Callithrix jacchus: one gene and its partner. Each later gene encodes a partner of the first gene's protein in a complex. Links are inferred from orthologs where the notes say so. Each region holds a gene or a part of one and is shown in the gene's direction. Other genes may lie near its edges.

Region 1 (16,334 bases):
CAGTATAAAAACTCCAGAAGAAAACTAGGCAGTACCATTCAGGAATAGGCACGGGCAAGGACTTCATTACTAAAATACCAAAAGCAATGGCAACAAAAGCCACAATAGACAAATGGGATCTAATTAAACTTAAGATTTTCTGCACAGCAAAAGAAACTATTAATAGAGTGAACTGGCAACCAAAAGAATGGGAAAAAATTTTTGCAATCTACCCACCTGACAAAGGGCTACTATCCAGAATCTACAAATAACTAAAACAAATTAACAAGAAAAAAACAACCCCATCAAAAAGTGGGCAAAGGATATGAACAGATGCTTTTCAAAAGAAGACATTTATGCAGCCAACAACCATATGAAAAAAAGCTCATCATCACTGGTCATTAGAGAAATGCAAATCAAAACCACGGTGAGATACCACCTCACACCAGTTAGAATGGTGATCATTAAAAAATCGGGAGAAAACATGCTGGAGAGGATGTGGAGAAATAGGAACACTTTTACACTGTTGGTGGGAGTGTAAATTAATTCAGCCATTGTGGAAGACAGTGTGGCAATACTTCAAGGATCTAGAAATAGAAATACCATTTGACCCAGCAATCCCATTACTGGATATATATCCAAAGGATTATAAATCATTCTATTATAAACACACATGCACATGTATGTTTATTGTGGTACTGTTCACAATAGCAAAGACTTGGAATCAACCCAAATGCTCATCAATGATAGACTGGATGAAGAAAATGTGGCACATATACACTCTGGAATACTATGCAGCCATAAAAAAGGCTGAGTTCATGTCATTTGCAGTAACATGGATGAAACTGGAAACCATCATTCTCAGCAAACTGACACAAGAACAGAAAACCAGACACCACATGTTCTCACTCATAAGTGGGTGTTGAACAACGAGAACACATGGACACAGGGAGGGGAACATCACACACTGGAGTCTGTTGGAGGGTGGCGGGCTAGGGGAGGAACAGCATTGAGGGGGATTGGGGAGGGATAGTGTTAGGAGAAATACCTAATGCAGATGATGGGGCAATAGATGCAACAAACCATCACCATGGCACGTGTATACCTGTGTAAGAAACCTGCATGATCTGTACACGTACCCCAGAACTTAAAGTATAATGAAAAAAACAAAACAAAAAAAGAAATGAAATGTATACTAGTCCTTCCTCCTTCTCACTGCAGGAATATCCTCAAAAGTTTCAGATGTTCCTTCAGTATCTTATGTTTTTAACTGTTATGAACTATTTCAGTCTTCTGCTTAAAATTAGTCATACATTGCCGATAACTTTTTTTCTGAGATGGAGTCTCACTCTGTCATCCATGCTGGAGTGCAGTGCTGCAATCTCAGCTTAATGTAACCTCTGCCTCCCAGACTCAAGTGATTCTCCTGCCTCCCGAGTAGCTGGGACTACAGGTGTATACCACCCGTCCTGGCTAATATTTTGTTTTGTTTTGGTAGAGACAGGGTTTCATCATGTATGCCAGGCTGGTCTCCAACTCCCGTCCTCAAGTGATCCGCCCACCTTGGCCTCCCAAAGAGCTGGGACTACAGGCGTGAGCCACCACGCCTGGCTGATACATTGCCAATAAGTTTTGAGCATACCATTCTCATATGTTACTTACCACATTCTGGTAGCATTCTGATTTTCTTAAACCAAATCATCTAAGTTAGATTGCGATCCAAGTTTTTGAAATCAAAGTTAGGTTATCTTTAACAAAACTCATGTGATTTGGCAACTGTTTATCTAGCTTTCTTTAACGAAACTTATGTTGTGGCAATTTTATCTGGCAACTGTTACCTGTGTGTCAGCTGGTTCCGAGCATCTCCTTGGCTACTCCAATCTAAGGAAGCCCTTCTAAGCTGCCCTATAGGTCTTCCTTGTTGTACATACTTCTTTCTCATTGCAGCCATCTGTATACTTCCAGAAAATAACTCAGCTCCACTGTTACAGATTTCCAAAAAATTATGCCACAAGGGACTATCAAAGAGAAATAACTCATTCTTTTTTCATATTCTCTATTTTTATTAGATATATTTAAGGGAACTATTCATTCTTTTTTATAATTCTCAATCTAATTTTTGTTAGACTCTAGTGTTTTACATTGGCTTTCTGAAAGGTTTTGGTTTGACCAAGTTTGTGAATCAGAAGAAATCCTGGGACATTGTTACCTAATAAGATATGCCTTTGGGTGAAAATTCTAGACCCTCTTTACGGTTTAGGATTCATTTTGAGGGAAAGAAATATCATTTGAAAAGGATGAAGGTGGATAAAGTGGACTCATCTTTTCCTTTGAGTCTGCATCAATAGTTGCTATGTTTTTGAAGTTCATTATTACATTTTACATTTAAATACTTCTGTAACGATTTTAGGCTAATTTATTTCAAGCAACTGAATCCTTCATGTAGACCTAGATTACATAATGCTGTAAATTAGTAATATTACATATTCTTGGTATTGTAAGTGTCTTCCCTTCAAAAAACTATTCTGTTTTCTTCAGGTGTTCTGATTTTAGAAACATGTTAGAAGGAGTGAAGTCCAAAGGAACGTAATTGTAATACGGAATTATTTTTGGTAATGTTGTGATACCTAATTGTCTTCAGTATGGCCATAGTCATATTTGTTACATTAATCACTTTGGCCTCAATTTTTGCATCTATACATATTTATATTAATTTATATTTATAGAAATATTTAGTAACTAAACTATTAATAGTCATTACTTATGTATCATTTGAATATTTTCACAGATACTGCTTTTGTAATAAAAAATAAATTTGTGGATTGATTAAAATGTTTTTATTTTCTTCCATTTTTAAACAGCCTTTATTTTTTAGAGCAGTTTTAGGTTTACACCAAAATTGAGAGAAAGGTACAGAGATTTTTCCATAGACTTCCTACTCCATACATGCATACCCCTCTGTTACCAACTGTCCCCCCTCAGAGTGGTACACTTGTCACAATTGATAAACCTACATTGACACAGCATCACTCGAAGTCCATCATTTACATTGCAGTTCACTTTTGTTGTATATTGTGCGAATGATGGCAAATGTACATATAGTGTCTTTTATCTGCTACTGTAGAGTCATACAGAAGAATTTCACTGCCCTTCCCATCCTTTATGGCCCGCCTATTCATCCTTCCCTTCTCCCTAACTCCTGGGAACGGATAATCTTTTTATTGTTTCCATAGTTGTGCCTTTTCATATTGGTTTCTTTCACTATAAAGGAACAATATAGTATGTAGCCTTTTCATATTGGTTTCTTTCACTTAGTAATATACATTTATGTTTCCTTCATGTCTTTTCTCTCTTTAAATTTTTATTTTTATTTTTATAGATTCAGGGGTTAAAAGTATGGTTTTGTTATGTGGATGTATTGTGTAGTGTCTGCATCACCTGAATAGTGAACACTGGGCATGATATATAATTTTTCACCCCTCACATAATAGTCCCCAGTGTCTATTGTTCCCCTCTGTATGTCCATGTGTATGCATTGCTTAGCTCCTATGAGTGAGAACATGTGGTATTTGATTTTCTGTTTCTGAGTTATTTCACTTAGGATAATGGCCTCTAGCTCCATCCATATTGTTGCAAAATATATGATTTCATTCTTTTTTATGGCTGCATAGTATTCCATAGTGTGGTATGGGGTGTGTGTGTGTGTGTGTCTGTGTGTATCTGCATGCTTATGTGTGTGAATATTCCACACTTGTTTTTAATACAGTCATTCCCTGAGGGACACTTAGGTTGATTCCATGACTTTGCTATTGTGAATAGTGCTGTGACAAACATATGCCTTTTTGTTATAACGATTTCTTTTCCTTTGAGTAGGTACTTAGTAGTGGGATTGCTGGATTGAATGATAGTTCTACTTTTACTTCTTTCAGAAATCTACACATTGTTTTTCATAGTGATATTGGGCACTTTTCATGTTTATTGGCTGCTTGTATATCTTCTTTTGAGAAATGTCTGCTCATTTCCTTTGCCTTCTTTTAAATGGGGTTATTTGTTTTCTTCTTGTTAAATTGTTTGAGTTCCTTCTAAATTTTGGATATTAGTCCTTTGTTGGATGCATAGTTCTGGAAGAGTGCTGGAACCTCCATGTCTTTTTGTGACTTGATATCTTATTTCTTTTTATCACTGAATAATATTTAATTGTCTGGATGTACCACATTTTACCCATTCACCTACTGATGAACATCAGGGTTACTTCTATTTCCTTACATTATTACATTTACCATAACTTCAAAATTCTCTTTTCATACAAATCCATATAAGATTATCAGAATTCCTATTCTGCATTAGTGTCTGTATAAGCCAACATAATTGTTGCATCATTTGGGTAACTTATTGAAAAAAATTTATGGAGAATTATTTTATTTTAAAAGAATTATTTAAAAATAAGTTTGGCCGGGAATGGTGGCTCACACCTGTAATCCCAGCACTTTGGGAGGCCAAGGCAGGTGGATCACCTGAGGTCAGAAGTTTGAGACCAGCCTGGCCAAAATAGTGAAACCCGTCTTTACTAAAAGTAAAAAGCTGGTGTGGTGGTGGACACCTGTAATCCCAGCTACTCAGGAGGCTGAGGCAGGAGAATTGCTTGAACCCGGGAGGCAGAGGTTGCAGTGAGCCAAGATTGCACCACTGCACTCCAGCCTGGGTGGCAAGAGCGAGACACTGTCCCCCACCACCAAAAAAAGTTTAACTTTTGTGGATTTTTTGGTACAGGATTATGTAACTGTTCTTAATTTTTACATTTAAAAAGTGATAGTTTAATCAGCAGTAAGCATTTTCCACAAGAAGTTTATTGTTGTGCATCATTTCTTGTGTAATATGCTAAGGGCATGTCTTATATGATGTTTTGAATTTGGTGAATCATGAAAAAATTCAGGAGATCGTCAAGCTATCATCATGTTGAAGACAAATTCTTTCTAAAAAATGCTCAGCAAAAGCAGTGCTAATATTTTGATGCTACTTTCTTAAATAAATATTAAAATAGTACTTTAATGATTGTCTGTATAATTGCACATCCAGATATTTATCATTTATACTGGATATTATATTTATCATTTATACTGGAAGCTAGAATAATATGTTTTAGAAAAGAAAAATAAAATATTTAGCTTTTGTTTCCTTTCATTAAAGCATAAATTTAAGATGTCAGATTAAAGAGAAAACATGAAGTATGAATTTCCAAAAAGAAAAGAGATGCCAGAAAAGGGAGTTATTTTTATAAATGAATGCATCCTCTTGAATATAACACATTGTACAATGGAAGCACAGAGTTATTGATTAGGCACCAATTGAGGACTTAGAAAGTTAAATAATTATTGAGCACTACTTGGTTTAATCTCAGGTACTTCCTATTCATGTCCTAGTCAAAATGATTACTTGTTTTCTATGTGTTTTTTTCATATCCTAACAGAATTTATTTATGTCATAACTGCATCTAACTTGTCATATCCAATCACTCCTTGGAGATTTAAGTTGTCTTGCATGCCACCAAATAAAACTTATGACTACTTCCGTTTGCCTGCTGGACTCTCAAAGAATACTTCAGATTTGAATGGACATTATGAGAAAGCTGTTGAAGTTAAGTTTAATTCAAGTGGAACCCACTTTTCTAACTTATCCAAAACAACTTTCCACTGTTGCTTTCGGAGTGAGCAAGATATAAACTCCTCATTATGTGCAGACAACATTGAAGGAAAGACATTTTTTTCAACAGTAAATTCTTTAGGTTTTCAACCAATAGGTAAGTATTTTCATGTTCCAAGCATTAGCTATTTTTTAAAATGTATTGAACAATGAGTTTTAATTCTTTGACACCTGTATGAAATAGCTGTCTTATGGCTGTGATTTTTAATATACATTAGTATTTTTATATTGATAATAAAATTGGGATTCATTATATGACCAAACTAATAAATAATTCCCCAATTATCTTGTATCCCATAAAAATCTGATGAGGGAACTATTTTACTTTTAAGTACTACATTTCTTGTAGTCTTCTAAATTTGCTTTGAAATAGCAAAACACACCTTATTTTTGTTAAATAGATAAAATATCAACTGATAATATTGTTGAATTAGTTAAATTTTAAAATATTCATGAATAATAATATTTCTTCAGGCAAGGAATCTCTCTGAAAGAGTATACATTTTAAAATTGGGTTTTTCAGAAACAATAGCTGATGGATGCTGTGCTTAACACCTAGGGAATGTGATGGTCTGTGCAGCAAACTGCTATATGCTATGGCCCACATTTACCTATTTAACGGACCTGCGCATCCGGCCCATGCACCCTGAACTGAGAATAAAAGTTGGAAAAACAAAGAAAGAAAGAAAAGAAAAAAATGCTTTTTTATTGTTTAAGTATAATGCATACTGAATGTAGCTAGTGTAACTAAAAATTCTGCATCTGGAAATATAAACAACAAAATTATTCCAAGTCTTTTGGAAAACCTAGGAAGAGTGGAGTCAATGGACTCATCCACATAAAGAGACTTCTGGTATGAAAACACAGGAATATCTTTTCCTGCCTCAAAACCATCATGACTGGGTTTTCACATATATGTGTGAGATGTGCCTCCCTCAGACCTTGTTATGATGTTAGATCATTACCTGTCTGATTTGAAAAAAAAAATGGCTGGGTGCAGTGGCTCATGCTTGTAATCCTAGCATTTTAGGAGGCCTAGGTGGGCAGATCGCTTGAGCTCAGGAGTTAGAGACCGCCTGGACAACAAGACTAAACTCCATCTCTACTAAAAATAACCCCCCTGCCCCCCCAAAAAATTAGCTGGGCATGGTGGTGTGTGCCTGTAATCCCATTTACTTAGGAGACTGAGGTGGGAGGATCGCTTGAGAGATTGACGTTGCAGTGAGCCATGATCATACCACTGCACTCCAGCCTGAGCAACAGAGTGAGACCCCGGTCTCAAAAAAAAAAAAAAAGAAAACGTGAGAACTGAGCTAGATGAGTTTTGAGGTTTTTTGTCCGACCTAAGTGGTTTGAAATTAAAGAAAAGTTTGAGGAACAATAATTGAATTTAATTCTATTACTTTAGAAAAAAGGAAACTGAGGGCCAAAGGTTCTGATAGACAAGCACATGCTCCTAGTTAAGGCCTGTTCTTTTTCTCTCAATAGGCAGTGGAAGTGGTATCAGAACACTGGTAAATTTGATTTAGCTCTTGTCTTTCACTGAACAACTGAGTTCTTCAGACTGTTTTTGAGATTTCATGTAGTTTTTTTTTAAATTCAGGTGCAAACTGGAACATACAGTGCTGGCTAAAAGGAGACTTGAAATTATTCATCTGTAATGTGGAGTCATTATTTAAGAATCAATTTAAGAATTATAACCATAAGGTCCATCTTTTATATGTTCTGTAAGTACCAAATAATTAATTTGGACATTTTTACTACACAATTTTTTTAAAAGAGCTTCCATATGCAGAAGTAGATTATAAACCTCTTGCATCCCTACTTTTCCTTTTATATGTTTTATTTTTTAATATAGCATTCTGTTCCATTGGGTTTCCTCTTTTCTCTTCCTGTTGATTCAGGTAGCAAGACTGTCAGGTTTAGGACCACAGTTGTCAGGTCCATGAGTACACCAAATGCTAGGTTCAAGTTCAGGTCCCAGCCCTGCTGAGGTCTGAAGGGAGTGGGTTCATGGGTGATAGCTGAAAGAATACTTGGGGGGTGGTGGGGCATAAGCAGGTGAAGTGTAGTTTTATTCAGCATCTCTCTCATCAGCAGCTTACTCAGACTAGGTCTCTCATTAGCAGCTCTCTTACATCAGCTTTTTCTCACTGTCTGCTCTGTTTTGACTGCTTGGGCCAGCCACTCCCACATGCAGCTGCACAGCTGATTCTCCCGTGCCTTCAGGGTCAGCAACTTAATTCTTTTTCCCTCTCTGGACACAAACGTGAACCATGCTGTTCCCATGATGTGCCATGCTGAGTTATGCCCTGGTTCCCCTCTTGTCTATCTGCAAGACTGACAGTCCTGGTACTCTCTTTCTGTCTCTGGGCACAAGAGAACCTGTACATGAGCACATGTACAGTGTCAGCAGGGTAATTATACCTTTTACAGACAATAGTGGCATACTTTTGAGTCTGGCTGGCAGACTCTGGCCCAATGATGGATGAAAGACATAAGCAAACATAGGCTTTTTACCTGGTTGCATGGCTAGAGGACTCATGGTTTATTGATCCCTAGGGGAGTGCTGTGGCCCCAGTAAGCCAGCAACTCTTGTATTTAATTAGTATAGGTTTAATGACAAAGATTCTGCATAAGCACCGTTTGTGGGTAATTAATGTTGCTGACCCCCCAAGTAGAGAGCTGTCATGTGCACAGATGGGCACAGGTTGGTCTTAGGATGACATGAATAAACAAGCTATTTAGATAAACTCCTCTATATTCCCTTGTTATCTGCTCTTTGCTATTAGCTCAAGGTAAGAGGAATAGGCTACCTTTAGCCATAACTCTCTCCCAAGGCTTTTGCAAAACCTTCTGGCTTTCCAAGAAGGATTGGAACTTTCTATAATTTTTCCCACCATTCTGACCGATCTCCTACAGCATATGGCCAAGGGATGGCCTTCCCATGTTATGGCTATCTGGCTGAGATAACAGGTGGAGTTATATGCCTGCACTCTTCTTGCTGAGTCATGCAGGCCTAATTCTTGACCAAAGCACATCCATGTACCTTACAAAGATATTGCAGATATAGGTGTGCATATAGTCTGAAAGAAGAGTGAACTCAGTTCAGGAGTTCTAGATATTTGAGTGGAAAAGCATAAAGGATATGTTTTATATTTCTTTTTCAGACGATTTTTTCATATTTGATTTCTTTATAAACTTAAAAATATGAGTGCCTAATATTTATTTGTGGTAGAAAGAGAATGAAGATATTCTTTTTAAACAGCCATATACTTATAACTTGAACAGCTAATGTGTCACTCAAGTTTGTAATTACTCCAGTGATGATATACATCATTTCTATGTCAATTTTAACTCTTTAAAATTCTTTCTAATTAAATCTTCTGTTTGACACTTAAAGTCTCACCCTCTTCAGTTCTGCAGTTAATGAGATAATACCATTGAGGAGCAATGTGCTAGAAACTGTCCCTATACAAATGAATAGAGACAGAAAGTAGAATGGGGCTGAGAGGAGGGGGAACTGGGGAGTTAACTGTTTAATGGATATAAAGTTTCAACTTAGGAAAATGAAAAATGTCCTAGAGTTGGGGAATGGTGATGGTCGTATAATAATGTGAATGTATTTCATGTGGCTGCACTGTATACTAAAAATGGTTGAAATGTTAGATTTTATGTACATTTTATCACAATAAAAATTTTAAAAAGAAATTTAAAAGACGTGTAAAAAAAGATAAATGGTTACAATCTCTGCCCTTGATGTTCTCAAAGGCTAGCAGTTGAAACATATATGTACAGAGTCAGTTTTAGCAGTTACTGATATGTATTTGGTAGGTACATAATGTCATGGGAGCACATGATTGTTGTGAGGCCTTAGATGGGGTTATCTAGTTTAGCTAGTGAGAGGAGAGAGGAGCCAAGGTTTCCTAAGGAAGGAGATAGCTGAAGTGAGTCGTTAGAGATGAATAAGAGTGAATAAGAAAATATGTGGGCACTGTAGTGTTGGGGAAGGTAATCAGTATCACCTGGAACCTTGTTAGAAATTTAAATTTGCTAGCTCACCTCTGTGAGTGAAAAAATTGGGGGGTGGGGCTCATTAATCTATGTTTTACCAAGTCCTTTAGGTGATTCTAATGGAACTCAAGTTTGAAAATTCCTGGTGTAGAATTTAATTTGGCAGATTCTAGAGTCAGTCTACCTGGCTGTACCGCTTACTAAATGTACACACATAGCACTTATTATGTTTAACAGTTGTCTACCTCTAGAAATTAACTCAATGGAAATATTTATACAAAGCTTAAAAATTCTTTATTGAATGTATACATATTGCCAAAATGCTTTCTAAAAAATTTCTAATTTACCCTCCAGAAATGTCTTCGTGAGCCAAAACATTATTAATAAAGAAATAATGCTTGAAGCTGGGAGAAGTGAGTGGTCAATGGCCAGATATATCAGGAAGGTATAATAAGGTCTGAATAATATGTATGGATTTGGCAGTGTGAAAGTAATGAGTCTTTAGGCAGAGTCATTCAAGGGAGTGGAAAGAGAGGTTGCCAGAACAGAGGGAAACTTGGAGGAAGGACCCTGAAGAACTGACCTTTGAGGAGGTTGGTGTTAGTTCCTCAGTCAGTTGATGGAGGGACCCTGCAGAGATAGAATTCATATATCTAAGGCATACTGTGGCTGGTGCTGAGAATATGGAGGAAAAAACCTGGTTACTGGGGCCAACTGCTGCTGCCCAGGTGAGGAACCTCTGACTGGAGTGATATTTCGAGAATGGGAGGCAAAACAGGAAGGATCAACTCCTTTGTTACTCCATTATTCTAGTCTCTTTCTAGCTCACCAACAGGTAGAATTTAACAAGAAACTATGGTTTGCCAAGTTCCAGCCCCAGCATGGCAAAACAGAGCATTGGGTGCATTTGAAGATGGCAGACAATACCTTAACCACCAGCAAAACTCATTTTATTGGCTCATTGGCTACGTAGAACATTCACACACACCTTTCTATGCATGTCTACATTTCCCTAAAACTTCCCTATAACTTCATGCTTTCACCTAATTAGGTGCAACTATACTTTTTAAAATGTCTTATAATGATACCTTCTGAAGTTAAACATAATGTAGATTCCGTTTTTAAAAAGTATCTGTTTAGTACATTTAAACAAATAAGTAAAAAACAAAACAAAACAACTGTCTCCTGTGAAGGCTTCTAAGAAGAGAAATCGTGACAAGTTCCTGATCAGATAAAAACCATTCGGGCCGGGCGCGGTGGCTCAAGCCTGTAATCCCAGCACTTTGGGAGGCCGAGGCGGGTGGGTCATGAGGTCAAGAGATCGAGACCATCCTGGTCAACATGGTGAAACCCCGTCTCTACTAAAAATATAAAAAATTAGCTGGGCATGGTGGCGCGTGCCTGTAATCCCAGCTACTCGGGAGGCTGAGGCGGGGGAATTGCTTGAACCCAGGAGGCGGAGGTTGCGGTGAGCCGAGATTGCGCCATTGCACTCCAGCCTGGGTAACAAGAGCGAAACTCCGTCTCAAAACAAAAACAAAAACAAAACAAAACAAAAAAAACCATTCCATGATTATTGGTGACTTTATTGGTGCTGTGGCTTTTTCTGCTCATCCTAGCTCAGAAAGGGGAACAAGCTCCCATTTGAAGTGGAGCCCTCAATTGAATCCTCCATGGACAACAGAGGTCGAGCTGTAGGCTAGCATGTTAGCACCAATGATGTCAATCACTGAGACCATCATGGTCTGCTAGTCCATGCAGATGACAGCCAGCAAGGGCTGCAGACACGTCACATTCACTTCACATGGCTGTCTAGGAACACAAGGATGTTTGTTGGTGGACTGCTACACTCATTCTTCCTTGAATCAGTCCCTGACACTTTGTATCTCTTATTACCTTAATTTTCCCAGGGGGATATTTTTGGACATATTCATCTGGTTCTCCTTTCAAATCATCAAGGTCACTAATAACATACATGAGGATGATTTCATGAAGCAGGTTTTCTGGCATGCAATCTATGACACTGTGCAGTGTCTGGAGACAGGCAGAAAAAACTTAATTGTAGGCACAGATAACCAATGTTAGCAACTGGTGGTCAGATGGTAGGACTTTACATGCTGCATTCCTTGTGCCTGGCATATCTCTGTGGTAGCCTGCAGTTACCAATAAGCATATTAAAAGCACATTTCTGATAGCTCAAGTCTCTCAACTCCTGAGCGCATTCATTAAAAATCATGCCCAGTTCAGAAGACAATTTCAAGTGGCCTTTTCCTGCATCTTCAATATGACTAACACATCGCCAATTTTGTTTGCTTTGAACTGTGGCTCTAGTAATAGACTCGGAGCTTGAGTGAAACAAGAGTAGAATTGTTTTGGAAATGGTCTATGGGGCCCAGACCTCTTGATGAGTGCATTCTTTTTTTTTTTTTTTTAAATATCCTTTTAAAAAATATATACTTTAAGTTCTAGGATAGATGTGCAGAACACGGGTATACGTGTGCCATGTTGGTTTGCTGCACCCATCATCTACATTAGATATTTCTCATACTGCTATCCTTCCCCTATCCCCTCACCACCAGGCAGGCTCTGGTGTGTGTTGTTCCCCGCCCTGTGTCCATGTGTTCTTATTGTTCACCTCTCACTTATGGGTGAAAACACGTGGTGTTTGGTTTTCTGTTCCTGTGTTAGTTTGCTGAGAATGATGGTTTCCAGCTTCATCCATGTCCCTGCAAAGGACATGAACTCATCCTTTTTTATGGCTGCATGGTATTCCATGGTGTATATGTGCCACATTTTCTTGATCCAGTCAAGAAAATTGACTGGACATTTGGTTTGGTTTGGTTCCAAGTTTTTGCTATTTTGAATAATGGATGACCACATTCTTAAGTGACTGAGTCACTTCACTGAAGTTGAAATGAACAAAAAGCAAAACTGACAAGGTCACAAAAGTAAAATTACACCCGTAACAGAAATATTGAACTATGACAGTTCCCACTGTAGACCTAGCATAAACTAATGGACCATTTTCAATTTGTTTAACACTGACAGCAGCTTTTCAGGACTCAGGCTGTGGCATCTTCCTCCTGCCACAGCCCCTGTCTGAGTCACAGGAGCTTCCCAGAGGGTGGGGAGTGGTGGGATACACTTTGAACAAAAGGAGACAGTCTTATCCTCTCCCCCAAATGGGATGATGCTATGTCACATATTTTCTGTGCAACATGTACAGTATTGATCTCTGGGCAGTATTAATTGCTCTTCTTAGTCACAGTTCCACCTGAATGATTACTCTGGAAGCTAAATATAAAACTGTAAATTTAATAACAGCAAGAATCCTTATATAAAACAATAGGGGGAAGGAAGAGATTGAGAAGAAATTAGTTAATATATAGAAACACACAGAAGCATACTGTAAGAGAGAAAATATGCATAGCTGCCACTGCTCACCTTTCCGTATTGATTACCAGACTGTAGTTAATATTTATTACTTATGTTAGACCCCTGGACTTTAAGTCACCCATAGGAGGAACCCAGATATAGTGCCACTGCCATCTTATCTGGACATTGAGTGTCCCTGTGGTTATCATTTCCACCTGCTGGATACCTGATGCCAGGAGTCTGATGAACCCCAAAGCCTCTGTGTCTTTGTGCAGTTATCACGAGGGGCAGTGTCTCAGATGGGGGTATCTAGTTGGCGAGAAGGTGCTCTAGCTGCCAGTGTTTCAGCCTTATATGATGATAGATTGTTCAGTCAGATGCTGGCCAGCCAGAAAGTAGACAAATGTTCATAACAAAAGTGACTGAGTTACACTCTAGGGGCCTGAGAAGCCTGGCTGGGGTTGGAAAGTGGAGGTGAAGGAGTCGTGTATAATGTATAATGAATGTCCCAGGGTAGATAATTAAAGGATGGGAAATCATGAGTTTTTTTCTAGTCTATAGAAAGTGACCCAGCAGGGAGAAAAAAGTTGATAATAGAAAGGGACCCATGGAAGATTAATATTATAGAGAGTGAATAATCGAATAGGCAAATTCCATGAAAAGAGTATGGGGTTGGTCTTAAAAAAGGCATACCTCAACTTCTGAGTATTGAAAGAAGAAAGGAAGCCCTGTGGTGGATGAAGATATATTTGAAGTTTGGGGCCATTTCCTGCTTTTTTGAGCAAGATAGGTTTTAGCTCAGAGAGAAGTATTCCTTTGCATAGCGGCACCTTCTTACGATGACCTAAATGCTTTGGATGGTGATAAAAATTCTCACTTGGGTGCCTATTGTAGACAATTTCAGATCTCATCATCAGGTTAGGGCAAAGTGCTCAGTTTTAAAGCTCTATGAATATGGCTGGGCGCGGTGGCTCAAACCTGTAATCCCAGCACTTTGGGAGGCCAAGGTGCGTGGATCATGAGGTCAAGAGATTGAGACCATCCTGGTGAACATGGTGAAACCCCGTCTCTACTAAAAATATAAAAAATTAGCTGGGCATGGTGGCGCGTGCCTGTAATCCCAGCTACTCAGGAGGCTGAGGCTGGAGAATTGCCTGAACCCAGGGGGTGGAGGTTGCGGTGAGCCGAGATCGTGCCATTGCACTCCAGCCTGGGTAACAAGCGCAAAACTGTCTCAAAAAAAAAAAAAAATAAATAAATAAATAAAGCTCTATGAATATGTGTAAGTGCTTACATTCTATTATGTATATATTATAATTATGACATGATATTTTTCTGAAAAAGTCAAATATATATTTAATCTATATGTAGATAGATATCATTTCAGAGTCTTACAAATTTGAGTAGTTACTTAGCTACAGATGAGAATTTGAGCTTCAGTTTAGTCAGCTGAACAGTCATCAGTCTATTCTTCTAAACAATAGGGCCCAGAAGAATGAGAAAATTATGGTAAATTAACTAGATTTTTAAACTTTCTTACAAAATGAATTTAATTTGGTCTTCTTTTACTTGAAACCTAGGTTTCTAAAAATATTAGCACAGTAAAACCTGTCATAATTGCAAGGAATTTGAGAAACAGTCTCCTGTTTTTATTTTCTGCCACATTGTACCGCTATGATTGGTTAATATGTTCATTATATTATTTATCACATGCTGTTTCTGCCTTTAATTCTATTTCTGTTTGCCCCTTAAGGCACTGTATCGCCAAATAATTAAATAGGACTCTAAGTCAATAAGAAGAGCTGGTCAATATAGGAAGAGCTGGTCAGTATAACCAGTGAGAACTCCATGGAAGAGAAAATCCATGCAGATGGTTACTATAGAAAAGCTTTGAATCAGACTCACCTATTTTGGACATTGGAAAATTCATATGAGTAAAAAAAGTATATTTTAAAATGGATAAAATCTAATGTTTGTAAGGGATTTAAAACAATATAAATATGTCCCTTCAGGGAAAGCTTTGTTTGGGCTCAGATATTAATGTTTGTCAGAGAATCTGAAGGATGGATACTCTAAAAATGTAGTATTTTGAAACTGCTCTAGAGATTTCCTCTTAGATTTAGGGAGGAAATCTTCTTTCTTTATTAGGTACCTACTGTGTCTTCCAGGCACTGAGGTGAGCATGGGGAACAAGGTTCCATAACACAGACTCAGCCTTTGCCCTCCCGGAGCTAACATTCTGTGGTAAAAACTGAAGACGTAACAACGAAGTTTGGAAATGCTGTGATGTAATAAATACAGGGCCTTGTGGAAACACAAGGGATATCCAGACCAGGTGAAGAGGGGGCAGAAGAGAATGATCCAGAGAGTGAAGAACATTTGCAAAAGCCCAGAGCCACAGATGGCACATGTGAGGAGTTGAAAAGTTGAGTGTGGTGGGGCTGGGAAGCTGGGGAATTAAGAGAAATCGGGATGGAGGGATACACAAGGGTCAGATTGTAAAGGGCCCTCAAGGTCATGCTTGGAGTTTGGGCTTCTGTAACTACTAACACCTACTTTACTTTGTCTTCACAATTACTACTGCCAGCATTCTTGGTGATTTCATTATCCACGGAATTAATCTTCAATTTCTTGAATGCTTATTTTCAATATTCTTGTTTTCTCACACCACCTTGTTCACCTGTTGTTATGGACATGCTCTAGAGTTTGTCATTGTCAGTAAGCATGCTTTTTCTATAATTTCCATGTCAAGAATCCTGCTCTTTGACCATCTCCCCTTGCACCCTTCATGTTAGTTTATTCCCGCTACTACCCAACTTCAGGAATAATGCTCCATGGTTCTTGGCTTCCCTTTCTGGGTACCGTGTTCTGGCCTGAGTAACCCTGCCTTCTTCATGAAAAGCAGCCCATATCCCCATCTAAGTTGCTTTCACAGCCTGCTTTCCCATCAGCCAATTTTTGATGGTCCAAAGACTTTTTTTCTTTTCATTTTGTTTGGTCTCTGTCTCTTTCTGTCTCTATATTAGCAATATTTCTTCTAATATGCTTGTCTCACGAAACCACATGGACCTCTAGTGTATCTCTCTGGTGTTCACTCCATTAGATATTTAAAAACCTGCAAATGTCCTAGAGATCTCTTCTCTGTCTTCTCTTTGATCTTTGCTCAGAAGGCATTTCTTAATTTTAACAGCATTTGCTATCTGGAGAGGCTGGACACTTCAAAACTATGAAGTCCTCTTTCCTTTTGTTTAATGGGCCTTTCTTCA
Region 2 (16,894 bases), on another chromosome or scaffold:
ACACTTCCTCTTTCTTGTGGTTTGGAAGAGTCATGTAAAATTCTGGCCAATGGGTTGTAGGTAGAAGTGATGTGTGCCAACTCAATGCCAGGGCATTTTGCTGATAGTTTTAGGCCCTCCAGAGCTCCCTTTTCCTCCAGCGTGGGAACTGGCAACAGTCTGATGGCTCCTCCGCCATCAGCCTGAGTATGCCTCCCTGAAATACTAGGGAATACTAGGGAACCGAGCTCCCAGGTGAGGCGTGTGCATCACGCATTACATGTGAGGACGAAGGAAAACTGTTGTCGTAAGCCACCAAGGTTTTGAGGTGCCTATAACAGCAGCACAACCTAATTTTGTGCTGACTGATGCAATGTTTTATATAATATGGTAGCATAGTAGAAAAATGTGAGCTTTAGAGTTTACAATGCTAGGCATGGTGTCTCATGCCTGTAATCCCAGCACTTCAGGAGGCCAGGGTGGGAGGATGGTTTGAGCCTAGGAGTTTGAGACCAGTGTGAACAATGTAGTGAGACTCCATTCTATTTTACTTCTTTTTTTTTTTTTTTTGAGACGGAGTTTCGCTCTCGTTACCCAGGCTGGAGTGCAATGGTGCGATCTCGGCTCACCGCAACCTCCACCTCCTGGTTTCAGGCAATTCTCCTGCCTCAGCCTCCTGAGTAGATGGGACTACAGGTGCACGCCACCACACCCAACTAATTTTTTGTATTTTTAGTAGAGACGGGGTTTCACCATGTTGGCCAGGATGGTCTCGATCTCTTGACCTCGTGATCCACCCGCCTCGGCCTCCCAAAGTGCTGGGATTACAGGCTTGAGCCACCGCGCCAGGCCTATTTAAAAAAAATAAAATAACAATTTTTAAAATGGAGTTTAAAATACATGAGCTAAAATCTAAACAGTCACTGGCTGTGAGCAAATCTGTTAGCTTCTCTGAGTCTGTTTCTTCATCTATAAAATGACATGATGTTTTTATTAGGTTTGGAAATATATTTAAAATATCTAGCACAGGATTTGGCATATAGTAGATGTTCAGTTATAACAATTTTAATTTCATGTATTCCTCAAAATAATGGTATGAGTAAAGAGAGAGCATGGGAATAAGAGAAAGGTTAGTTACTATGGACGTTTCAAATGCCTTCCCCTGAACTCAGAGAAGCCCTAGAAGGGAGACAAGGCCCTGAAGTTACCATGTACAATTTAGCCTTTCCACTGCCAGAGGAAAAGCAGATTCTACTTATGGTAGTGACTACTGACACCATCAGCATATAAAATAAGAATATAGCGGTGGAGTGAGTTAGTGTCCCTGTTAGTTTCACCGAAGCTTGTTATCCTAGCCAAGCACCAGCAGAGGTCTTTCCCAAAGGCGCAATGAACTAAACTCTTCTTTCAAATCAGCTTATTAGTATTATCATGACCACTTCAGCTGGCTCACCCGGGACCTGGGAATGAGCTGGAGAGTGAACTACAGAGGAAGGGAGAGAAAGAGAATATCCTCGAGGCAGGAGGAGAATGAAGGGCCTTTGCCTCCTCCTGCTTCCCAGCAAGCCTTGCTTGATGGAGGAGCAGGAGCAGTCAGAGAAGATGGTGGGGGAATTCCGATTCTGTGTGTCCTTCCCTCACTGAGCCAGCTGCTCCGGAAACCTCCAGTTCCAGGTCAGACGCCTGCTGCAGTTCCCACTTAGATTTAATTTGGTAGAGTTGTTACCCCCAAGCCCAGTTTTCTCCAAGGTCTGCTCCCAGACCATCGTTTGCCTCTGAAATACCACATCCTGACCCTGAACTTGGAATTCTGAACATTCGATGGCCTGCCTGCTTGGAACACCCCAATTCTGCCTCTGGGATGAACGTTCCCTGCACATTTTCACACACATGAAGTAGAGACAGTAGCTCAGGATCCAAGGAGAACTTGGATGTCATCAGCAGGAGGTCAGGCTGGAAGCACTTCCTGAAGCCACCACAGCCTTTGGTGAATGAAAAATAGAGATGTTCAGTTCCAGACAAAGCACCATATGCTTGTGCAGCTGTTACACCTGCCATCAATCCAACCCTGATTTGCACTTGACTGACTTTTGACTTTCCATGAAGATCAAGATCCCACGAAAATGCCTATGGCCAGTCGGGTGACTCTAATTTCCAGCAAATGGGTGGTTCTTCTAAAATGGGGAGGTTTACCCGAAGCATGTATTAGATGAACATGGATTTGTGACCTGTGCTCAGGGTTTAAAGCATGGTGAGAATGGAAGTAAGATGCTGAGACTGAGTCCTGGTGGGGCTAGTTGACCTCATTTTGATCAAGACCACAGATTTTACCCCTGACCCAGATTAAAAACCTATAAAATGGGCTTCTGTGATCATGAGAGACACAAGCAGTGATGTGCTGGAGCAGACTAACAGCAGCTTGTGAAATCCAGGTGTAACATATTCTGGAAATTTCTAAGCCAATTTTTAAAATCATTAGTAGCTTGAAATTTATTATGGTGCAAGTATTTATGCCATGGAAATTGGTAAGCCCCTACAAATCGGGGTTTCTCTTCCTTCTCCCCTCCTCCATCTCTTCCTTCTCCCCTCCCCCCCCTCCTCCTCCTCCTCCTCCTCCTCCTTCTCCTCCTCCTCCTCATCCTCCTCCGCCTCCTCTGTAAGAGCTTGTTTAACAAGGCATGTGTGTCTTCTTGCAAAACCAGTCTTTCATTGCAAAAACTATTCTAGAGATGGGATCAGGGGAATCAGTTTTGTATATGGGAAGAACACAGCTTTGAGGACTAAAAAAAAAAAAAACAAAAACAAAAACCAATCAAGTTTTAACATCGATAGAAACTTTGATTAGATAGGGAGTTGTGGCTTCAGTGACTGTGCTGAGATTTTAAATTTAAAAGATCTTGCTGAAGTGAAAATTCCAGTAAATGTTGGGTTGTACAGCGCTGTAGGAGTCTGTAAAAAGAGCTGTAGTCATGTACTGTAAAAAGCCTTTATTGAATTCTCAGTACGACAGTGGTCTCTCATTGACGTGGCTTCCAGGGAGGGAGCATCTGGTCCCCAATCCTTGCAGAGAGGGGCTCACACCCAGATTGCAGCTGATTGTGCCCGCTGCTGTGGGGGCTGCTGTAGGAGGGACAAAGAGCGTTGAATAATCTGTTATGGGCTGAAGGCTGTCCCCTAAAATTCATGTATTGAATTCCTAATCTCCAGTGTAAACTGTGTTTGGAGATAGGATCTTTAAGGTGCTTATTAAGGTTAAATGAGGTGGGGAACTAACCCAGTCTGACCAATGTCCTTATAAAAGAGGAAATTTGGACACACAGAGACACACTGGGGATGAGCGCGCATAAAGAAAAGGCCACGTGAGGACACAGGGAGAAGGTTATGTCTGTAGGCCAAAGAGAGAGGCCTCGCCAGAAACTAAGTCTGTGGGCACCTCGCTCTTGGACTCTCAGCCTCAGAACTGTGAGGATGTAAATTTCTGTTGTTTAAGCCACTCATCTATGGTATTTTATTATGACCGTCCTAGCCGGCTAATGCCATCTGCAATCCAAATTGCCTATTGCTGTTCTTGTCTGTTGATTGATCAGTTTTACAGGGTAATCGACCCTCCTCCACAATTCTTCAGGCCCTCCTAACCGTTGCCTGAGATTCCCAATGTGCCCAGTCACTCAACTGTGAAGCCAAGGGGTAGAGCCACTGTGACTCAGTCAGAACTTGGCAGTTTACCTTAGGGGATGACAGTCAGATTGAACGTGAGCAGAACTTGGCTCTGCCAGCGTTTAGCTACAGAATCGTGAGCAAGCCTTCGTCCTCTTCATGCCTCAGGGTCCTCATCTGTAGAATGGGGGCAAAAACATTCTCCTCCCTCATAGGATTACAGTGACAACAAAACAAGATCGTGGAAGGATAAGCACGTAGCACAGTGCTCAGTGAGCACTGTCCTGAAGCTAAGCCGGCTTGGGCACAGCCTGAGTTAGAGACAGCTCTGCTTGCCCTGGCACTGGGGGGGTGGAGGAGGCATGGGGGGATGCGGAGGGTGCCTGAGAGGGCAGGGTCTTTCCTCTCCCGGTGACCTGCACTGTGGGGAGCAGGTCACTCACTAGGACAGTTCCTCCTGGCACCAAGACCCCCCCACCGTTGAATTTTTCTCCCTTTAGTTGTTCCCTCACAGAACAAGCTCTTCACAGAGAATATTGTGTGTCTTAAAAAATAAGATAATCAAGTAAAGGTGTCACAGAGAGCCTGGTTTTCAGCAGGCGATCAATACATGTTAACAATTTCTACAGGTGCAGTTCCTAAAGCAGTTTTCATGCCATCCCCCAGGGCAGCTGTGGCCATAGAATCGAAGCATAATTTGGACACTGTTGGTGGGAACAGCACTGGATACTTTTATTAACCAACTTGGTTCAGCCTCTCTAAGGAGGAGAGCCCCATTCATGCCAAAGGCTTCTCCAAGCCCTTCCCAAATACCCAGGATTCAACAGCCTGAGTCCCCTGAAAATGACTCCCCCCAGAACACAGCACAACCCAGCAGCATGGCCCTTCCTGACTCTCCGATCCTCCTTGCCACATGGGCTGATGGAGGACTCAGCTCTGTGGCTCTACCAAGCCCCATCTCTCTTCCTGCGCCATGAGCAAGAGCATTTGGTGACCTGGTGAGAAAGTGGGAATGGACACAAGGCCTGACTCCTGGCAGGAAGCTTCAGACTTGCAGCATGTGCTTAAACCTCAGGAAACAGAGTGTGGCTCACAGGTGGTCCGAGCCCAGGAATGATGAACCCCATGCTGCTGGGAGTTCGCCTCATGGAGTCAGCTCTGCGATATTTGGGCCATGGAGCTATGGACCCAGCTCTCCAGGAATCTCCCCTGCAATGACTGAAAGCTCCTTTAGCACTTTTCTATTTTCCTGCCCCCTGGGATCCTGCTAAGTACATGGGGGCTCTGGAGAAATCACTTTGTGTCTCTATGTCAACTTCTGATTAAAAGTACTTTAAAAGTCATGTGCTGGGCCATGTATGGTGGCTCATGCCTGTAATCCCAGCACTTTGAGAGGCCGAGGCAAGGAGATCACCTGGGGTCAGGAGTTCTAGACCAGCGTGGCCAACATGGTGAAACTCTGTTTCTACTAAAAATACAAAAAAAAAAAAATTAGTCAGGCATGGTAGCGTGCACCTGTAATCCCAGCTACTCAGGAGGCTGAGGCATGAGAATCACTTGAACTCAGTGGGTAGAGGTTGCAATGAGCCGAGATTGTGTCACTGCACCAGCCAGGGTGACAGAGCAAGATGCTGTCAAAAAAAAAAGGCAGAAATCGTCATGTTCTGGAATGGTCTGATTTGTACCTACAAAAGAGCAGCGTTTTCAGAATCAGGCAAAATAAAGGGTCAGCTTACAATCTACCCTTATCAGGGACCTGTGGCTAAGGGACCTTTCCGTGGAGAGTTGTAAGAATGCACTCAGCAGAGAAAGGAAGCTCACAAAGGAATTCAGGTAAGGAAATTCCTCCGGCGATTCAGAAAAAGGCAGTCACGAGTTTCTAACATTCTAGAAACATCACATTACTGTCACATGTTGCTGTATTTACTCCCTGTTTACTCTCTGTCTGCAGGGCAGAGATAAAGATGCCCAGAAGAAACTAAAGCCTTCCTGTGGGAAGCTATAAAAGATCAGGAGGGAATTCTTTATCAGAAGTTGAAGATTGTGCTGAGTGTGGTGGCTCACACCTGTAATCCCAGCTGTTCAGAGGCTGAGGCACGAAAATCACTTGAACCTGGGAGGCAGAGGTTGCAGTGAGCTGAGATTGTACCATTGCACTCCAGCTGGGGCTACAAAGGACTCTTGACAAATCTGACCGGATTCGATCGACACCTAAGAAAAGTAAGACTCAGAATCTATTAATTCTACATAAGCCTAAGGATTAAAGCAGACAATGGCAGCACAAGTAATAAGGATACTGGTTTATGCCTAGGTGTTTGTATTTCTTTAGGTCTAACTCTAACTATATATCCTATTTTGAATTAATAGTTGTTATTCTTTGTTTTTGGTTATTTTAACAAAAAGCTCTATTTAAAGAACACTAGCCAGATGTGATAGCTCATGCCTGTAATCCTGGCACTTTGGGAGGCTGAGGCAGGTGGATTGCTTGAGCTCAGGAGTTTGAGGCCAGCCTGGCCAACTTGGCGGAACCACATCTCTATAAAAATATAAAAATTAGCCAGGCATGGTGGGACATGCTTGTGGTCTCAGCTACTTGTGAGGCTGAGGCAGGAAGACTGCTTGAGCCCAGGACGCTGAGACTACCGTGAGCCTTGATCACACCACTGCACTAGAGCCAAGGTGACAGAGTAAGACCCCATCTCAAAACAAGACAAAAAGAGAACACCAATGCCATTAGGAAAGAATGCTTTAATTACTAATGCCGTTGAGGAGCCAAGCAATTCAAACCCACCTGACTCCAGGTGGCAGTTTGTTTCAAGTACAGGCAAGGAGACTCAAAGGAAATAAACAATTTGTGGGGTTCTAGCAATGCGAACCTATAAGGTTCTTGTTACCGTCATAATGCTTGATCAATACTTATTAACAAACCACATTCTAGAAGGAACAAGTTTTAAAAGCCTGAAAACTGACAGCCAGTGTCCTGAAGGTGAATGAGTAACAGTGAGAGAGAGACCAAGTGGGGCGATGCTGCTGTGCTTTAGGTAAAAACGTCAGTAAACGGTTCAGCCTCCACATACACAAAACCCATCAAATTCTACAGTAGTGAAAGGTGGAGGCATTCCGTGCAAAGTTAAATCAGGCTCCTTGGAGGTTCCAGGAGCTCACAGGAGATTCTTGGGTTTTGGAGATATCCTGGGGTAACTTGTTTGGTTCAAAAATGTAGAAAAGGAAACACGGAGTCCCACAAAGAGATGAAAAAACTTCTGTTTTGCGGAAACTTTTATTTCTCATCAAATATCCATGTACCCACCCACTTTTCTGACCCACTTCCATTAGTTAGGGGCCATGTGGCTGATAGAAAAGTGATTGACGCTGCTTCTGGGCTGATGAGTGTAGGAGCTGGCACCCAACATGCCAACTCTTCTCCCGCCTGAGGGACCACATGCTGAGGTGTCAGGGAAGGATGTGGAATAGAGATCCTCCTGCAAGCTGAGTTGGTGCATTGTGTAAGCATGCAAGAAGCCCGGGGTGCAAGGCCTCTGAAATTCCAAAGGTAGCTTGCTCCTGCAGTTTGGCCTCACCTGACCTGGAGTGTACAGACCTCATTCCTATGTAACCTCAGTAACCAGGCTAGGAGGCAACAGAACCTCTGCCATTAACCCATGTGTGACCTTGGGGAAGTCACTCTTTTCTGGGTGTCATTTTTCTCATGTGGAAATGTAGAATTGGGTCAGTTGGCCTTTGTGCTGTCATTCTCCAATTTTGTGTTTTTGAAAATTTCCATCAAATAGTGTCTGAAAAGTTGTCTCTACTAGTGTCTGTCTGTCCCTGTCTATTATCTATTTAGACACCTCTCCATCCACCCATCTGTCTATGTTCATACATCCATCCTCACATCATCCATCCTTCCATCTATCCTCCCATCAATCATCCTTCCATCCATCCTCTCATCATCCATCCTTCCATCCATCCTCTCATCATCCATCCTTCCATCCATCCTCTCATCATCCATCCTTCCATCTATCCACTCATCATCCATTCTTTTATCTATCTTCCCATCCATCCATCCTCCCATCCATCCATCCTCTCATTCATCTATCTTCCCATCCACTTATCTGCCCATCCATCTCTATCCTCCATCCATCCATTGCTCCAGTTGAGTCCTGTTTCATTATTAAGGGAGCTGGGACAGCTGAAATAGTGTTTGGGACTATTTGCCTCCCCTTCCCTGCATCCCTTGCTGTAATGGTCAAACTGGCTGGGCCACAGTGCCAGATAGTCAGCCAAACACTATCCTGGTGTTTCTGTGGGTATGTTTTGGATGAGATCAACATTTAAAGCAGCAGGCTTTGAGTAAAGCAGATTACCCTCCACCATGTGGGTGGGCTCCATCCAATGAGTTGAAGGCTTGACGACAACTGACAACAGCAGAACATCCTCAGAGATACACACATGAGCAGAAATGCAGGAGCCTGCTCTGAATTCCCTAATATAAGCATAAAAGGGCGCACACCCCGCAGGCTTACAAACAGGAAAATTCGAGGTGCTGCTTAGAATGTGCCAACACAAAGCAAATGCTGTCATAGCACCTATACCTCAGCACTGACCCTCCCACCTGCACCCCTGATCTGCCCAGGGTTACCCAGTGCCCCTTGGACAGTCAGCATGCTCTGCATCAACCCTGCCACCCCTATGACCCCTTCCTGATGGTGCTGCTCTGACTGGTTGCAACACGGACACTCACTCAGAGTTTGGGAAGAGGAAGCTGTGATTGTGCTGAGCTTTGCAACCCCTCCCCCTGCCCCCACTCCCCAATTCTTTTTCTCCCAGAGAACTTAGCAGTAAAGGCTAATTTATGAAGTCCCTAAAGATTTGAACTTGCTGCAGAACTGGCCGCAGTTTCCAGTGGGTTAAAGTCTACTTGGAGTAGAGCAGAAGCCATGAGCTGTGCTGCCGAGGGGAGGGAAGGAAGGAGCCATACCAGACCAGCATCCCCAACAGCCTTCCTCCCCTACAGAGAGCTCAAAGATGACACTGAGTGTTGGGCATGGGATGCGGGGGATACAGGGTGCCCGGAAGAGCAGGAAGGTGGGGCTGGAAGGACCACCTCCATTACTAACATCCCAGTCAAATTCAGAAACTACCCAAGCCCTGGAGGGTCCTAAAGGCACTTGCTCCACCCTTGTACCACTCTTGTTCTCTCCTGAGGTTGCAAGATCAAATCCAGTTTAAGGCTCCCCCTTGGATTTTCTCATGTCATGGGCTGACGCCCACTGCTGGGGCCAAACATTCAATCCCTTCCCCATGAAAGTCAAAGCTAAATTTGGTAAGGATAATTTCACATTAAAAATAAGAGGTTCGGCCGGGCGTGGTGGCTCAAGCCTGTAATCCCAGCACTTTGGGAGGCCGAGGCAGGTGGATCACGAGGTCAACAGATCGAGACCATCCTGGTCAACATGGTGAAACCCCGTCTCTACTAAAAATTACAAAAAATTAGCTGGGCATGGTGGCGCGTGCCTGTAATCCCGGCTACTCAGGAGGCTGAGGCAGGAGAATTGCCTGAACCCAGGGGCCGGAGGTTGCGGTGAGCCAAGATCGCGCCATTGCACTCCAGCCTGGGTAACAAGAGCGAAACTCCGTCTCAAAAAAAAAAAAAAGAAAGAGAAAAATAAGAGGTTCACAGCCGGGTATGGTAGCTCACGCCTGTAATCCCAGTGCTTTGGATGGCCAAGGCAGGAGGATATCTTGGGCTCAGGAGTTTGAGACCAGCCTGGGCAACATGGTGAGATTCCATCTCTACAAAAAATTTAAAAATTAGCTGAGCATGGTGGCCTGTGACTGTGGTCCCAGCTACTTGGGAGGCTGAAGTAGGGATCATTTAAGCCCAGCAGGTTGAGGCTGCAGTGAGTTGAGATCGCACCACTGCGCTTTAGCCTGGGCCACAGAGAAAGACCCTGTCTCTAAAACAAAGAAAGTAGAGGTTTAAAAAAATTTATTATTATTATTTCTTGAGATGGAGTCTCTCTCTGCCACCCAGGCTGCAGTGCAGTGGCGTGTTCTTGGCTCACTGCAACCTCTGCCTCCTGAGTTCAAGTGATTCTCTTGCCTCAGGCTCCAGAGTAGCTGAGACTACAGGCATGCACCACCACCCCCGGCTAATTTTTGTAATTGTAGTAGAGATGGAGTTTCACCATATTGGCCAAGCTGGTCTTGAACTCCTGACCTCAAATAATCCACCCTCCTCAGCGTCCCAGAGTGCTGGGATTACAGGTATGAGCCACCATACCCGGCCACCAAAATAGGGACTTAATTTTCCCTGTTTAAAATAAACAGAAGAGACTCTTGCAGCCCATCTCACTTCCTTTTCCTAGAGCACTTATTTTGGAAACCATAAATAGCAGTTCCTTCTCTGTCTCTTAAATGTATGTAAATCGTTTTAAAAGCTAAATAAGCCTCTTGCCAACTTTAGGACCCAAGTATGTCTTTCTCCAAGGACCTGGGAACCATCTTGAAAGGTAATCATTAAGGAACATAGCTGTCCATCTTCTAGTCTCTGGAGAAGGGTAGGAGCCTAACTGCAGCTTCAACTTGCAAAACTACCTCTTGTCATAAAGAAATAAATTTATTATTTTTCCTTTGGGTAAAGGGAATTAGCAAACACAGATGGCCACCCCAATAACCAGGTGACTTTAGGATGAACTATGTGTGACAAATAGAACTCATTCCCTGAAAACTAGTCATCGTTTAATGTGGGAACACGTATGTGACAGCTTGGAGCTGCTTGGCTGGCCAAAAGGCAGGCCTCCTTTCTTTCTTGGCAATCTCTCTGCAGACTGCCCGGCGTGTGCGTCACATTCTGGTTGAATGCTTGTGCTCGTGCAATAATAAAGCTGTTTTCTTTTGCTTCTTCCTTTATGGAGAGGTTTTCCGGGTTGTGAGGAGATTTTGTTTTTAATTATAGTTCCCCAGCAATTCTCCTGCTCTCCCAAAGAGAGGATACCCAGGCCCTTCAGGAGGAGGGAGGCTGAGGCGGCACCACCAACAGGGGAGGGAGGAGAGAGGAGGGACATGCAGGCCCTGCCAAGGTCAGATGCTGCTGGGATAGCGGAGCCTCGGCATCATCGGCATCATCGGCAAGAAACAGGCTCCATCCATCCTAGACAGTTCCCCCGCTTCCCCAGCCCCCAGCCCCTCTCTGGTCTTCCTTCCCGGGCTCCCTTGCCCTGGGTTCACCTGTTCTCTTTTATGCATGGACTGGTACACTTCTGTTTTGCCTTTCAGCAGTTCTCACCTGCTTCGAATACAGAGGCTGTGCGTAATGGTTGCACAGTGAGATTCCATTCTCTACCTGTCTGCCGAGTCCCCTTTGTTCCTGAAGTGAACCTCATTCATCTGGACCCCATTCATGACATTTTCAAAAATCACTTTCCTAAGCAAAGACTGAAGTGTATTTTGCTTTTTCTGTGAAGGAAGATGATGTCATGTAAATTTACCAGCAAACTTGCTGGGAGCCACTCAGTTGACTCGAGATCAGGAGTTCTTTTTGAGCATTTGATGACATCTTTGCATACTGGATTGTCGAACATTGATTATTTTTCTCCTCCATTCTCACTCCCCACAGCTTAAATGGGACCCCAGGCTCTGTCCTAGTCAGGCTGGGGGCTAGATGGCGGCTTAAGGGGAAGGCCTGAAGAGGCAATTTGGTTTCAGCCTTTGAACTCTAATTCTCAACACTGGCTGCATTTCAGAAACACCAGAGGAGCTCAAAAGTATAAATATGAATGTGCAGATCCCAGCCCCAGCGCTTCTGTCTTAATTGAGGTGCCATGGCGCACAGGGCAGCATCTGCCTTAACAGCTCCCAGGATGGGAGTCTCTATCACATCTGTCAGTCAGCGCTCTCTTGTGAGTTCAGAGCCTAGAGGTAAAGGCCTCCCAACCCTAGGTGCTCATTACAGCACCAAGAGAGCTTTTTAAAAATATGACTGCTGGCCAGGCGTGGTGGCTCATGCCTGTAATCCCAGCACTTTGGGAAGCTGAGGTGGGTAGCTCCCTTGAACGCAGGAGTTCAAGACTAGCCTGAGCAACACAGTAAAACCCCATCTCTACAAAAAATACAAAAAATTAGCTGAGGGTGGTGGCATGGGAGGCTGAGGTGGGAGGATCACCTGAGACCAGGCAGTTGAGGCTGCAGTGAGCGGTGATCAAGCCACTGTACTTCAGCTTGGGTGACAGAATAAGACACTGTCTTAAAAAAAAAAAATTGAATGCCTGTCACAAAGCCCAGCGACTCTAGTTTAATTGGGCTGGGCTGAGACCTGGGCACCAGGAGCCTCTAATGGGTAGCCAGAGTGAGACTCACTGGGACAGGGAAAGAACCCTGACTTCTCAGTCAGACTGACTAGACCTAGAGTCTGGGCTCTGCTGGGCGACTGAAAGCAGGTTGATTCACCTCTCTGAGCCTCCATTTTCTCATTTCCAACATTGGAGTAGTGCAGCCCCCCATGCAGGGTTGACCGCAGCTGGCCTCCTCCACCAGCATGGCCTGGGGTGTCTCTCTCAGTAGTTCTCCTTGTCAGAAAGTGGCCATTTACCATCAATAATTAACTATGTTACCAATAAGAATTCAGTTCTTACCAATAAAAAGGTGCTGCTTTTGGAGATGTGGGAAAGAAGATGCCAGGGCCAGCCTGTCCTCCCAGTCTTTGACAAGTGTCAGGACTGTGGTTCTTTTCCATCTCTCATAAAATCCTGTTTCAGGAGGCTGGCTCTCTTGAATCAAATTGTACTTAATTAAATCTTCCCTGAATCTCAGAGAGTTTCATAGGAACTCTGCACATATTTACAGCCTTTGTCCAGGCACGGAGGTTTGTGCCTATAATCCCAGCACTTTAAGAGGCCAAGGCGAGAGGATTGCTTGAGCCCAGGAGTTCAAGACCACCAGGGCAACATAGGGAGATCCCCCCATTTCTACCCCCTCCAAAAAAAAATTAGCTAGGTATGGTGACATACACCTATGGTCCTAGCTATTTGGGAGGCTGAGGTGGGAGGAGTGACTGAGCCTAGGAGGTTGAAGATGCAGTGAGCTGTGGTCTTGCCACTGCACTCCAGCTTGGGTGACAGAGAGAGACCCCTTAAAAAAAATGGCTGGGCATGGTGGCTCAGGCCTATAATCCCCACTTTGGGAGGCCAAGGTGAGTGAATCATCTGAGGTCGGGAGTTGGAGACCAGCCTGGCCAACCTGGTGAAATCTCGTGTCTACTAAAAATACGAAAATTAGCTGGGCGTGGTGGTGGGTGCCTGTAATCCCAGCTACTCGGAAGGCTAAGGCAGGAGAATCACTTAAGCCCAGGAGGCAGAGGTAGCAGTAAGCCGAGATCACGCCATTGCACTCCAGCCTGGGTGACAGTGCAAAACTCCATCTCAAGAAAAAAAAAAGCTCAAACAACAAAAGTTCTGCATGCTAGATCTTATTGTAAAGAACACATTACTTTTCGTTAGAAATAATCACATTTGTATTACAAAATAAATAAAAAGCAAGTTAGTTCAGGAACTGAGCCTGGAACTTACTATCAGATCACAAGGATTCTAGAGCATCTGTGTGTGTTTGCCTAACACCCCTCACTCCTTCCAGCCTCCGTTTGCTCCACTAAATTTTAGACTGTGATTCTGAAAAGTGGGGTCGAAAATCCTGTTGCTGCTACGAAAACTGTGCAATTCTATAGCTCATTCCTGATGTCACTGTCAGCAGGCAGAGGATGCAGTTTCACAGTTCTGCAGGGTGTGACCGAGAGGCTTTCTGCAAGTGTGCCCTTTCACTAAACTTTCTGAACCCACTATTGGTTCTTCACTCAGCCAGGTGCAGAGAGGGCTAAAGATAAAATAGCTACAGATTCTGCCTGCCTGCCCTCAAATAGATTGAGGTTTGGAAGTCAGACAAGTCAAGCACATAACTAACTCTAACACACAGTAGAAAAGAGGTCTGTCTGGGAGTGGGGGCAAGCTAGCTAGAAGAGGGAGTATTTTAACCATGCATCAAGGAGGAGCAGAGTATGGGTAATGGGGCAGGTGATATCCTTCTCCTAATGTCAAGAACGCCAAGGCCCAGAATGTAAGGAAGCAGGAGGCAGTTCCTGGAGATCTTGGATTATTTTTGGGAGAGGTGAAATAGCTGGTCAAGAAGTATGCTTGTTTTAAGGTCTTTACTGCACGTTGCTCAAGTGTCCTCTGGAAAAGATGCTCCAATGTACACTAAGCCTGGCAATAAGATGCCTGGAGCCTTGGTCTGAAAATGCAGGAGGAAGAGGTGCAGGGGCTGTGACTTGGAGTGATGTTTGTCCTGTCAGCTCAACAATTATTTGTCATCCTTGGGCTGGATGTGGTGTGCAGAGATGAAGAATGCACACATTCCTGCCCTCGGGGAGCTCAGCCTACGAGAGAGACAGATCATAGCCCAAAAGTATGAGCAAACCTAGGGCTCCCTTGAAAGTTATAAGCAGATGTTGTTTGTTTTTAGAAAGGGTCTAGAGTGCAATGGCGACAGCTCACTGCAGCCTTGAAGTCCCAGGGTCAAGCGATCCTCCCACTTCAGCCTCCCAGGTCGCTGGGTATGATACCCAGCTGTTTTTCTTTTTTTAGAGACCAGGTCTCACTATATTGCCCAGGCTGATCTCAAACTCCTGGGCTCAATCAATCCTCCTGCCTCAGCCTTGCAAAGTGCTGGGATGGCAGGTGTGAGCCATCTAGCCTGGCCTACAGGCAGGTTTTTGAGCTGAAAAGAGTCTGTCCTTTCTGGATTCTCCCTCTTTGAAGCACCTCATTCACCTCAGTGAAATTATTCACAGGGTTCCACCAGCAATCCTTAGGTTCCCTGACTCTCCAAAAGGCAGCTAAGCTTCCTGGCGTCCCATTAGCTGACTGTGCTTTCTCCCACATTCTTTGTTCCAGCTATTTAACTTCAGTACTGGAGGAATTTCCAAGGTGCTTGAAGAGTTCTGCCCAGCTTCCTGCCAGGCCATGCCTTCCCAGGCCATCGAGCAGGGAAGCCATCCCTCAGGGTCTCATCAGAGAGCTCTTGCAGTGGGCATCCAGGGCCATAAAAATTTGCATGCCAGAACCATGATTCCAGCTTTGAAAAATGATCCTAAGGAAATAAGCATGAGTATTTGCAGAAATTTATTTACAAGATTATGGATGAAAGCCTTATTTTAAAAAGGGAAAAAAATTGTTGAAAATGATCTAAATTTTCAACCATAGAGTTTGGCTAAATAATTTATGGCATATTCGCACAATGCAGCAGTTGTGAATTACATCATGGAAGAATATTTAATGACATGAAAAGAAACTTAAGGCATTTGCAAAATAGTGTGTACTACATGATCCTATTTCTGATAGAAAAAATACATAAATATAGAGATGCAAGAGAGAGAGAAAAGCCATGTGTCAAAAAATATAAAACATTCACGATTTCAGGGTAGTGGATTAATAAGAAACTTGAATTATCTTCTCTGGATGTTTTCTATGATGTTCATTATTTGTTTATCCAGAATAAAAGATACTCTGTTTTTTGAAAATGACATCTCCTGGCACAGGCCAGTGATTCCCATCTGAAGCACATGCGGGTAGGAGCTGGGTGCTGGGTGCTGGGGAGCTGCACTGTCTAGGCCAGGAGAGTCCCCTGAGCTCCTGGCTGCTGGGACGCACTGCTTAACCATGCTGTCTTCTGCAAACTGCCATACAGCAACCCTGGTTATGCAACAAGCTGCCTCAGCCCTGGGCAATCAGACCCTCTGACTCCTCGGCTCCATTACAGGGCATAACGGGCGAACCAGACCTCAGGCCCAATGGTTGCGTAAAAGCAGGATGGATAGATTATTCTGGTCATTGCGTTCCACCCAGCTGAACAGGCACATTTGAACTCCTTCCCCCCTGGACTGCTTAGCCCCTGCAAAGCAGGCCCCTTCTTCAGGAAGCCTCCCAGACCAACTCCACTCTGTCATGTGCTTCAAAAGCCCCTGCTCTCGTTCATAATGAACACTTGCAGAGTGCTTTATTTGCAGTAACCCAAATGATCCCCACAACAACACTATGAGGGGGTGCTGTGATGCTTTTATGAGAAACGAGACAACAGAGGCAGAGGAAGCACAAGCAATTACCCAAAGTCCCACGCAGAGCCAGGATTCAACCCACCCCAGGCAGTGCAGCTCCAGGGTCAGCCCAGGAGACACCATGCCATGCAGCCCCCGCAGGCAGTGGCTATCACAGCCACATTTCCATAGTGATTCTGAGTTGTTTCCAAAGTTTTGCTGGAAAACTGTGGATTCCTCAAGGGCATGAACTATGACTTTCACTTCCATGGGACCACCCAGGGCCCAGCTGAGCACTGAGTGCACAGCGCCTTTCCAGGGACTTGAAGCTCTGAGGCTCCGCTCCTTTCCAGCTGTAGGAGTAATGGTGAATCCTACTGAGCCATAATCTTACTGCTAGAGGCTTATCTACAGGTACTTATGCGAGTAGTCTGGCAAAACACCTCTTTAGGGACAAATGTAGGGCTGGAGACGTGGGAAGCCTCGGGATGTGTCAGATCACAGCTTTCTGCAGGGCTCAAGGCTTCTCGCTGCTTCTCCAGAACATCTCTCCGAATGCCTGTGCAGCCCTGGGCACCTGGGCAGGGTCCAGCTCTACAAAGGATCATGACTCGAGTCCTTCCACTCCAATGGGAAAGACCAACCAAGTGAGAGAAAGAGCATGCGGCCCAGAGGGGGAGCTGGTTGCCATCAACCTCCTGGCTGTCATTTGTCTCTTCAGGGTTTCCAGGCTGGCTTCCAACTGAGGATGTAAGAGGCTGTTACCAAGTCTGGGCAGATCAGTGCAAACATATTAACAGGGGTTATCTCAGCATGGTGTGATGAGGAATGACTTTTTCTCATGGCTTTGCTTTCTGCCTTTTCTAAATTTCTGCAATATGCATGATTATTTGGGCAATTAAATAATTACAAGGAGGGAAAAGTCATTGTTCTTGCTCTGGCCCTTGCAGGATTCTTTCCCCAGACTTACATGGGCTGCTAAGCTCCAATGTGGCCTCTATTTCATGTGGCTTCCACCGAGCTCCTGGTGATCTTCACACCAGCAAATTCCCATCCCTACTCCATCCTTTCCATACCCTTTACTGTGTATTGATCTGCTCAAAACCTTGCAGATTACAAAATGTTTCACTGGCCTGAGACTGCTGGGCCCCACAACACTGATTTCATAAGAAG

What was found.
Region 2: the proteins of LEPR (region 1) and LEP are in contact, whole or in part, in a crystal structure (PDB 7Z3R), measured with the Mus musculus proteins. The link is inferred for Callithrix jacchus from reciprocal best matches to the Homo sapiens genes LEPR and LEP. Residues at the interface, in NP_666258.2 of Mus musculus: Tyr439, Leu440, Thr441, Arg466, Ser468, Leu469, Tyr470, Gln499, Pro500, Ile501, Phe502, Leu503, Leu504, Ser505, Val560, Phe561, Glu563, Asn564; in NP_032519.1 of Mus musculus: Lys26, Val27, Asp30, Thr33, Leu34, Lys36, Thr37, Thr40, Arg41, Gln92, Gln96, Asn99, Asp100, Glu102, Asn103, Asp106, Leu107, Leu110.

Annotation. Positions count from the first base shown.
Region 1 is NC_133508.1:102,802,767-102,819,100, forward strand, and holds part of LEPR (leptin receptor), read left to right. Parts: intron 1-5,446; coding exon 5,447-5,776; intron 5,777-6,550; exon of another isoform or gene 6,551-6,654; intron 6,655-7,282; coding exon 7,283-7,406; intron 7,407-7,910; exon of another isoform or gene 7,911-8,064; intron 8,065-11,256; exon of another isoform or gene 11,257-12,108; intron 12,109-13,898; exon of another isoform or gene 13,899-13,979; intron 13,980-15,382; exon of another isoform or gene 15,383-15,476; coding exon of another isoform or gene 15,477-15,478; intron 15,479-16,334. UniProt on the Homo sapiens protein: Receptor for hormone LEP/leptin. On ligand binding, mediates LEP central and peripheral effects through the activation of different signaling pathways such as JAK2/STAT3 and MAPK cascade/FOS.
Region 2 is NC_133512.1:118,731,722-118,748,615, reverse strand, and holds the start of LEP (leptin), read left to right. Parts: upstream 1-5,590; 5' UTR 5,591-5,856; intron 5,857-16,894. UniProt on the Homo sapiens protein: Key player in the regulation of energy balance and body weight control. Once released into the circulation, has central and peripheral effects by binding LEPR, found in many tissues, which results in the activation of several major signaling pathways.